2 linked regions of the Coturnix japonica genome follow. The protein of the gene in region 1 interacts with the protein of each later gene in a biochemical or structural test. Links are inferred from orthologs where the notes say so. Each region holds a gene or a part of one and is shown on either strand. Other genes may lie near its edges.

The links. The genes of interacting proteins can lie anywhere in the genome.
Region 2: the proteins of MMP2 (region 1) and TIMP4 form a complex in vitro, tested with the Homo sapiens proteins (2 studies listed by BioGRID). The link is inferred for Coturnix japonica from reciprocal best matches to the Homo sapiens genes MMP2 and TIMP4.

What each region holds. Positions count from the first base shown.
Region 1 is NC_029526.1:2,835,527-2,840,692, reverse strand, and holds the start of MMP2 (72 kDa type IV collagenase), read left to right. Parts: upstream 1-1,663; 5' UTR 1,664-1,853; coding exon 1,854-1,997; intron 1,998-5,166.
Region 2 is NC_029527.1:3,151,316-3,156,648, forward strand, and holds the start of TIMP4 (metalloproteinase inhibitor 4), read right to left. Parts: upstream 3,424-5,333; 5' UTR 3,150-3,423; coding exon 3,020-3,149; intron 1-3,019. UniProt on the Homo sapiens protein: Complexes with metalloproteinases (such as collagenases) and irreversibly inactivates them by binding to their catalytic zinc cofactor. Known to act on MMP-1, MMP-2, MMP-3, MMP-7 and MMP-9.

The DNA.
Region 1 (5,166 bases):
TACATATTACAAATATATCTTAAATTATATTGAGTTTATGTGCAACTTTAAAGTATTTTTTCCACAAATAGACAAAGGATGTAGCTGTGGCTACAACTGCATTCACTTTATGTGACTTATCCAGAGGTAGCAACTGTTTGTAGAGACAAAAGCTGAACCATGAGAGGAAAGCTGTTCACTGTAACTCAAGTGCCACTGGAATCATACATAGAAGAATTGGAGAGTTACTTGCTTGCAAAGAAATCCCTGCTCACACACAAATTACTGCAACCCCTTCTTTTTTCTCAGACACTGAGGGCTCCTCCCCATGGCTGTTCAGCCAGTGCCTAAGCATATAGCTGCTGTGCTTTTCAGACAAGCTCTATGGGCAGTAAAAACCCCTGTGAATGTTTTTTTTTCCTGAAGGTCTTGGCCCACGGTTTGCAACCCTTGTCTTTATATAAGGTTCTTCAGTTCACAGGCATAGGCTTTAGTTAGCAAAACAACTCAACATTAGTGTAAGTCAATGAACTGTCAATACCAAATATTTCCAATTAAATATCAAAGTACTTTGAATAAATACCAAACACCAGCAAAGTATTTACTTTTCATTAACAACACTATTTGGTAACAGGAGTTATACCCAGAAACCCTTCGGTTAGAAACATGCAGTGGAAAGCTGTCACAGCCTCACTGCTGATGTACAGCTCAGAGGAACCCTGACGGCTGGACTCACCTTGAATAGAAACTGTTCTGTGACACATTTGGCTGGCCAGAACACAGTTTGCTTTCATGCAGAATTGCCAGTCTCCTGTCTTAAAAAGCCATGAGCCAAGCCCCTAGATTAAGGCTATTCAGCTAAAATAATATTCAGCTTGTATTAACACCTCAAAGCTGGCAGTATTATGAAGGAATAAAAAGGCCAGCCATGATGAAGGCAGTATTTGCACCAGAATTTCAGACATACAGCTGCATCAATGGGCCAAACCCATAGTGCAAGCAGACCTGGAATTCTGTATAAAATCACCCTACCAACCGTTGGGCACAGTTCCTATTTGCTGCATCTTCCAGATTCTCTCTAACTTCATAGAAAAACAAAAGTGACCCACCACCCCTATTGGTGGCAAAGCTTTAAGCTGTCATAAAAGCTGCACCAAGCCCTCAGTGATCTTGTTCAGAGCTCTGGTTATTCTCTGCACAGAGCAGGGCTGGAGTGCTGGTGAGCCCCATACACAGGGACCAACTTGTGCAGCCCAGGCAGGAGATGGACAAGAAGCCTTTGCACCAGCCCATGCCAGGTCTGCCTCCAACTATGCCATCAAAATAGTTACCAAGAGGCGCTGTGTAGGACTGTAACCACATCTGGCTAAAGCAATATGTGGCAAGAAAATAGGGTAAAGAATAACACAAATACTTAGGAAGGAAAATAATGTTTAGGGGTGGCTGTTTTGTTGTTATTTGTTTTCATTTAGAAAATACAAGAGACACTTCGTCTTCAGTATTAAGTCAGGTCTTGCCCTTTGCTGCTCTCTGGCATAACTAAATGCTTCAGTGTATGCAAATAAGGAGAAAATGTGGCTTCTTTCAGCAGTAATAAGTATCTGCCCGTTGCTACCTTAAAATCACAGCAATCACATCTGGTAACTGCCCTTTTCTCATGTTTCCACTAGTTTTCAGACTTCCTCTTGTGGTAGCTTGAGACTGCGCATCTGGATGTTTTAAACATACAAAGGAATTGCTAGAGCAAGCAAAAGAGAAAACGGTGCAGAGAGTTAAGATGCGCAGATAAGCAACTAGTGCACTGTGCAGCTAAAGTAACTGACAGCCAGTTAGAAAGATCTTTTTTCAGAGAGGATTGCAAAAATATAGGCAGAATGAAGACTCACAATGTATTTGGCTTCATTTTTAAAGTACTATTAATCCAAGTCTATCTTTTTAACAAAACTTTAGCTGCACCGTCACCAATCATTAAGTTCCCCGGAGACAGCACACCAAAAACAGACAAAGAGCTAGCAGTGGTAAGTGTTGGTTTCATCTTTGCTTCAGATTTGTTTCGTTTTTCTTTCATAAGCAGCTGTTTCTTTCTTCTTTCAGCTGAGGCTTGGAAATGACTGCAGCATTCTCTCTATAGTCTCTGGAAGTGCTCGCTAGCTAGCGCAGGTATCAGCTTTCAGAAGGAAAAACTAGAGCCAAGTAATGTTTTTCCTCTCTAAAAATTTAAAGGCAGCAAAAATCTTCTTTTTCCTTAAGTCTGAGCGAACAAAATAGTTTCATTAAATCATTGCAACTGTAATCAACAGATTCCAATGGTAAGAGAGGAAAATGTCTAATTTTTGACTTATATCAAATAGAACCGTGAGCTATTGAGATTCACTTACAGAAATCTGGGCTTAATGCATGTATCACACAGCTTTCAGGATCTTGTTTTCCAGACTGTTTACTGTGCATTGCATAAACACAGCTTTAAGGGGCAATTACAATTGAAAGCTGGCTCAAGTTTCAGAAGCCATCGTGACTAGTTCTGACTTCAAAAAAACCCCTCAAAGGTTTAAAGAAATATTCTTTTCAAATTAAGAAAAAAAAAAAACAACCAAAAACCAAAACAGTTTGGATTTCTGAATGTGACATCAGCAAATTATAGCTATAATTCTACAGCATTTTATTCTAACCTCATTTTAAGCCCTGTGAACCTTCATAAAAATGACTTTCAATGGGGAAATCCATTTAAGGGGAGATGGATCATACTAATTTTATCATGTAAATTATAGACATTTCTTCAGCAGTAACTCCATTTTAAGGAAGACTGAGATAACTTATTCTTATTTTAGAATTTGGAGGGTTGGAAGTTGGTTGCTGTTCTTTAGGAGCTGGTGTGCATCTTGGGAAAGCTTGCCAGGCTAACAGCCTGGGGGAGGGTAGAGAGAGAAATTCCAGATGGGAGCTGTGGTGGAAAGTTGAGGAAAAACAGATAAACTGACCCCAAAAGGGCAGTCTCCAGCATTTAACAAGACAAATTCACCAGAGCTTTTGTCTTGGCAGCACAGCAGCCAGGGGGTGGGGGCAGCATGTATGGGAAAGGAAAGGGGAGTCATACTTGTCTAATGGTAATTTAACCATCCTTAAACAATCTATTTTTTTTAGACACAGTTAGGATTTTACTAAATAGCAGCAATCCGCATCTCCCCTCATCTCTGCTTCTTTGGAACAACCTATTTATTATGTGTACTCAGAGGAAAATTACAAGCTGGTTTAAACACTGCAGTTCTTCTTTGTCTTTCTGGTAATATTCTTGGGCAATGTTAACTGGCTACTTTTCTCTCACACTCTCCGTCTGCACAGCCCCAACACTCAGAATCAGAACACAAATTGCTATGTTGCAGCTGGACCCTGTTTCATTAATGGGCTGGATCAAAATTCCAGATCACCACAGCTCCCTGCTGACTCTGGGGAAACTGAATTTTGCAGTCTAGGCCAAGATGTGGTTTACACAGACACTGCATTTTCTTCAAGATTCTCTCCTCATAGAACAGCTGGTTATGTTCATTTTCATCTTCAGTAAAATCTCCATTTTAGGAAGAACTGACAGGAGGGTTAACTTCTTACTTAGAAACATACCAAATACAATTCTCTATTGTGCCTCATTTTCTGTTTTTTTCATTGTCTATCATACTTATAAACCTAAATTGGCAAGAGCAGCATCCTCTTTCGTCAGTAAAGTTCAGTTCTGATGTACAGTCTGTGTTATACCATGGTGTACCACTGGCAAATACAAACAGAAGTGTAAGACAATAAATCAAACTACATGAAAATTATAATTAGGATAACAACAGATTCTCCAAACTGGCTTGTTTATGTTCTTAGTGCCTTTCACATTAAGTCCTAGGCCCCATTTCCTCTGAGTACACAGAAACTTGTTGACAGCAAAGGTGAAACCATTGTGTGTCCATTACTTGCCAGTGTTGCATTCTCTTCAGGAGAATTACCACATCAGAATATGATGTTATAAAAACTAAGCAAAGTCTGTGCTTAGTCAGTAGGTCAGTGGAGAACCTCCTGAAGAAAATGGTGTAACATCCTGATTAAATCTTTTCTGATTCAACTATGAACTATTTCCTATGCAGGGTAAAATGAGGCAATCCGGGACTTAATGTTGATGAAATCCATGTCCAGACAAACTGCAGTCATCAAATGTCATTTCCTATGTTTTGCTGATGTAGAGGTCTTTTCCCTCTTCTTTTGGGTGAAATTCAGTTAACTAATTAGATACACAAAGTAGGGTTTCCCTCAGGAATATTTAATGGCACAAGGACTTAAATGCACACTCAATTTGTCAAGTTTTTTAGAATCTTTGGAAAAAAACAATTCTTTCTTATATTTCTGATATGCTTTACCCTTACCTTATTTATTTGGGTTTCTTACCTTGGATTTGTAGCTAATATTACGGATACAATACCTGAAGGACTTTCGTCCCCATGCTAAAGACAGTTTTGTCATAAAAATCAGTAATCTACAGCATTTCCATCTACCATCTGTGGTAGTGGCATCTCTCAGCCTTGTGCCATCCAGATGACCTACACATCAGTCTGGGGATACTTGCTGTTTGATGCAGCTTTATCTACTCTTTATAGAGAATGTAAATTTAGCAATCCAGAACTGTACCTAGTCTAAACAGTGCAACTGAACCTACCTTTGTAATAGTCCAAGCTAAGGCAGCAGCTTGAAAAAATAATCAAATTCAGTTTAGATCCAAATACTGAATCCAAATGTTCAAAAAAGCCAGCTGTCTTTGTTTTGGATCTGTTAATTCCCAGATAGGAATAGAGCTGATTAAGACTTTACACAGCTGAAGATACAACTGAAAGTTTCATCGTCTCTTATGAGAGGTCACACTTTCCCTTTGACGACAATGTTGTCATGACAGGTTTCACCACATGTTACAGACTGCCAGACTACCAGACATTCTCAGAGGGTCGGTGTCTGCCCAAAGACATTCAGTTATTCTGGCACTCAACACTGAATTTATGAGGGGAAAAAAACAACCCTAAATCCTAAACTGCTCGTGCAAACTTAGTGTGTTCTGCACAGAAGATGGAGACCGTGATCAGATACTTAGGACCACAGCTATGAATCTACAGTTTAGAATAGCATAAATATACAACTTATTAACACACATTTGAAAGACAAGTT
Region 2 (5,333 bases), on another chromosome or scaffold:
GTGCAGGGAGGAATCTGATGAAGTTTAATGTGAGCAAGTATCAAGTCTTGCACCTGGGGAAGAATAACTGCATGCACCAGTACAGGTTAGAGGCTGAGCTGCTGGAGGTGAGCTTTGCAGGGAAGGACCTTGGAAGGTCTGGTGGACAACAGGTTGGATGTCAGCCAGTGTGTGGCCAGGAAGGTGAATTAAAAAGAGTGTGGTCAGCAGGTTGAGTGGTGTGATCCTCCCCCTCTGCTCTGCACTGGTGAGGCCGCATTTAGAATACTGTGTCCAGCTCTGGGCTCCCCAGTTGAAAATAGAAAGGTATCTCCTGGAAGGAGTCCAGCAGAGGGCCACATTGATGCTAAAGGGCCTGAAGTATCTCCTGTATGAGGAAAGGCTGAGCAACCTGAGTCTGTTCAGCCTGGGGAAAAGAAGATTGAGAGGGGATCTGACTAATGTTTATAAATATCTAGTTCTGTGATTCTGTGATTGCTATCAAGCAAATAAGATCTGTCTCCATTTGGTAGGACAATAATATAAATATATAAATACAATACAATAAGTACAGCAATATAAAATATAAGTGCGTATTATATGCCAAGTACTACAATCTTTCCATACTATGGAGAAGTCCAAAGGTTTTTTTTTTAGACAGCTCCAAGATGCAAACGGTGTGGAGCCCATCTCTGATGGTGAGGTGTATTTTACACTGAGTATTTACTAAGAGTGTGAAGCCACAAAATCCTCACAGGTTTTTATTCTGCTAGGAAATACTTGAATGTGTCTATGGGTACACAGATGAATGAACTAAATAAATGACAAAGATGGAATAGTCTCAGTAAGAAGCTGGATTGATGATCAGTTACTAATGATTTTGGTAGGTGAAGAGCTGATCTCTTTGTTTATTGATATTTTGGAAGGACAGATATGTTGAAATTAAGGCACAAATCTTGAAGTACATGTTTTAATCTTCTTAAATCTTGGAAAGTGTAGGTATAAAATTCTTCATACTACTAGCAGGAGAAATTTGATGTGTACAATTGCACAGGATACTTAATAGCATGGCCATTCCGGTTTAAGAACTGAGTGGTGCAAAAAGGATGCAGGTGTGGCTTCAAACCTGCTTTGCTTCAGAAAGGAAGAACAGCTGTAGAGGCATTGCCCTGATTCCCATTGGAGCAGCGCTGTGTGGGAAAACTCAGCCTCGTGCTGCCCACTTCCCCAGGACAGCCCCAGCCCTGGCACAGGAGCTGGAGAAACTGCCTTTGCCAAAGTGGTTAGTGGAGGTTTCTCTTATGCAGGGCAAACTGCACCACAGGTCTTCTGCAGATCCTTTGAAGCCATTTTGATCTGCTTACAAGATGTACTGTATCCAAAAGAAATCGAGGAATTCATCCCTAAATGCTTAGGTCAGGCTTTAAGTGTTACATATATGCAAATACATATGTATGCATATCCAAAATATGTTTACAAATATTGATTTGATAGATGTACATTATGTATTATGTACAATCTGTCAATCTTTTTTTTTTTAAAAAAAAAAAAATATATATTGAAACATGGGTGATAAACAAAGAAATCCATGATGGAAGTATTCCTTAGGTATAAAGTACAATTGACTTTTAAAAGAAAACTCATGTAAGTGAGAGCTTAAGCACCAAGTCTTATGCTACCAATATAAAGTAGCATTATTTTACAATTTCTTATTTCAACCTAATTAAAAGTATATATCTACCATTTATTATATATGTACATATAGATATAAAGGACCTTGTCTTAATTAGAGTGGCCAGAATGAATTCCCTGAAGTATGTACATCTCGTAACAAGTATTTTGAGTTTCCTCTATACTGTGGAATTATTTACTTTGAAAACTCTCAAATCTGCTGAAAAACTTATTTTGTTATGCCTAGGAGTGCAGCAGATTAACATAATTAACTGTATGCATATTTAGTTAAGCTTCTGGAAGTGCAACTTTATTTTCTTTTACACCTGAACCCCAAGTTTGTAATGCCTGGTGTAGGTAACTCAGTGAAAGAGTGCTTAACACAACCAGATTAAACAACAATTTAACTGATGGCCACAAATAGAGCTTGGAGTTTGTCATGGCTACAAAGATTTTCTGTCAGAGTATAAAAGCAATTAATCAGTATGCAGAAGGTATTGCCTGCCCCATAGAGATGCTAATTTTGTGACACTTTGGAAACTCATGTTCTACATTTACTGTTCACACTAGATGGAAGCTAACCAGCCTCAGCTTGAGCTAATGAAATCAAAAGACTGCAAAATGACACATTTTCCTATCCCCATGCAGTATAATTTTGAGATCTTTAGTTTCTTTCTAAAAGTATTTTGACAGCCGCAGATCTGATTAAACGTCATGAAATACAGCCATCCTAAAGACTGGAAAATCCTATTTGTGTAGAAACTCTATAGCCAGATTCAAACAAGTGAAGGCATATCAGTTTCCTGCTCAAGTATTTTTGGAAAATAAAGTCAGATACTGGAGCGCAGCAGAACAAAGATCAAATATTTCAACATGTCATTGGGGACTTCATTTTGTTTCCCAGAGCGCTGTAACAACTGTTGATATGCACAGTTAGAGTGGATCTGTATTTAGATGGAATAGTCTAGTATAGATACAGTGAGCAGTAAACATTTAGACGTCCACATATTCTTTGCTGCTTGCTCTAGGTTAGGAGCTAACATAGATGTTGTTTTTATGAAGGAAAAAAAGAAAGCCCACTAAAATAGTGCAGTAATTTCAACAATCTGTAACCACAAAATGTTCTGGAAAAGAAAAAACAGAAAAAAAAAATCAAGAAAAACAGATCAGCTACTGCCACATTTTTCTTCCCATAGCCGTATGTTTAAAAGGGCTGTCTGCAGTCATTTTGTTCCAAAATGCTCTAAGAGTCGAAGCCACATGGTTAAAAATATTTCTCTACAGCTGTACAGAAAAGAATGCGGCAGTTAGATTAGCTCCACTCGATTTCCTACCAGCAGTTCAAAGCACGTCGTTATTAATGACTCACCTAAAGCAGAATCGCAGATGAGCTGCTGCGGATGAGCAGGGGCACAGCTGCACGCCTCCACCAGCTCCTGAATTCTGTGGGTCAGCAGCAGAAGCACTGAAAACAACAAGGTACTAAGTACAGGATTCATGCTGCCTTAAGCACAGCTAATCGGTCTGCCAAGAGAAAATGCTTTCTTACTGTTGATTTTATATCTAAACTTCCTACAAACTATCTGATTTCTTCTGCGTCTTCAATTTCAGCAGACTTGGGTGGTTTAGTAAAGCCCTCTAATGCTCAGTCTGCTTATGTTAACTGACTTCTAATTTCCCTGACATAGGAACCTCTTATTTATGGCCCAGACACTAACTGGTAACTCCGCCTTCCTTTAAGGAAAAAGCACATCATTGGTGAAAGTTATTGTACCAGAAGTGAGATTACCTTAGTAAGCACTGCAGTGTTGCTGTTATGAGTCAGTATAACTATTAATAATCAAAAGCCTTTACAAAAACAGCTTTTACAATTTTCTGCAGTTAATTTAATCATCTGTAGCAGAACAAAGATTTTTTTTATCTTTTTCTAGTAAATTTTCTTCCAGCCTGAATTTACAAAATAAATCTGCCGCCTTCTCTATTCTGGTCAAGTGAACAGCTGTCCTTCATTAAACCCTGTTTTCATTTGCAGTCCTTGGTCTTCCCCTGCACTTCTGTGCATTTTCTTGAGATGACATTCCTGTTTGCAGGCTGGACAGAACTTCATGAAAAAGGGACGTTTCAATGCTCTATTTGTAAGGCTACAACAATTAGCAGTAACAAGGAATAATGAGTTAAAAATAAAAGCTGCAATAAAGGGCTTTTTTATTATTTTATCAAATATTTAATGTAGGTTTAATGTATGTTGGAGGCACAGCTTTTTCTCCGTATTCTTTTTCAATATTAATCCTGATCTACACAGATCTGTATCTGCATTTTCTGGCTACTGTTATGCATGGAACACACACATAAATTCCAAAGTTAGGAACTATTTTTTCAGCTTCAGATCTTTTAATATCAGAGTCTGGATATGTGTTACAAATGTTACAAAGTAGTAAAACAGTAGTAATATAAGACATAGGTTGACATGGACAACAGAACTTAAAGAATTGTATTTTTTGTCACAATTCAAGTTTGAGAACTGAAAATTCAGTAATATAATATAAACCATTTGAATCAAGGCTTATGAAAAGCTGTTTTGTCGAGAGTTAGGTGTACACAAAGTAGTTTATTATCTTTATAGAAATATGTGCAGGTTCCACAGCAGAAGGTTGATTTTATTGTTAAACTGTAAGAGGTCATTTTGGCAGCAAACAATTTGCTTTGATTCGTTTCAGTCCTCCCCAGGTAGACACTCGAGTGAAAAATAAATAATACACGGATACTCAGAATTATTAGAACTGGGTCTTATGTTTAGATTCAAAACTGGACTGGGAATATTCTACATGATATCCTGATTTAACTCAAGCAGTCATACTTTGAACTTTATTTTTTCAGTCTGAAGTTTTGCTTCAAGTCATAGGGATAGATCCAAGTCCAGGCCTAACAGCAGCAAATAATTCAGACTTGTTGATATCTTCATTCTTACCTGGAGGACACTTAATTTTTCAGGAAGTATTTTCATATGAATAAAAAGTTGTGAGATTGAAACCTTCTCCAGGATGTTCAAGCCCATTTAAAACAAACAAACAAAACAAGCAGGTATTTTAATGGCATCTGTGATTTATCATCTGTAGTTGTAGGGCTGTTGACATTCAGATCTCACTTGGGGTGGCAGAACTGGAAAGTGTTGAAGGAATTAATTCAGACCCATTGACTGGTTTCCCAATAACACCACATGCTTGCTGTCATAAACCATCCAAATAAGTCAATTTGATTTTTGTTTCAGTAAAATACAAGTAACAGATAAGTATGCTGGGCTAAGCCTTCTCATTGCGTTGATAATGCAGTTCTTCCTATTGGTAGTTGTCCAAGGAAGGTATCCCGTAAGGTTGTACAGAATGGCACATTAAGACTGTATGCTCTCCATGCTTAGAGGAATGACCTTTAGATGAATGAAATCTAGTGCAATCAAAGTAATTGTACAGCCAAACTAAAATCATTATCCTTATAAAATAAATACATTTAAAAATAATTATGACAAGTTAAAATTTAATTCACAACTGCCTATAGACATAGCTGGAAATTTAGTATTTACATTTGACTGTGCAGAAATGTAAACATGCTAAAACCAAATCTTGTGTGGTAATTGTACAAATGCCATAAAAAACACATTTCTTGTGATCTTATATGGTATTGCCTGC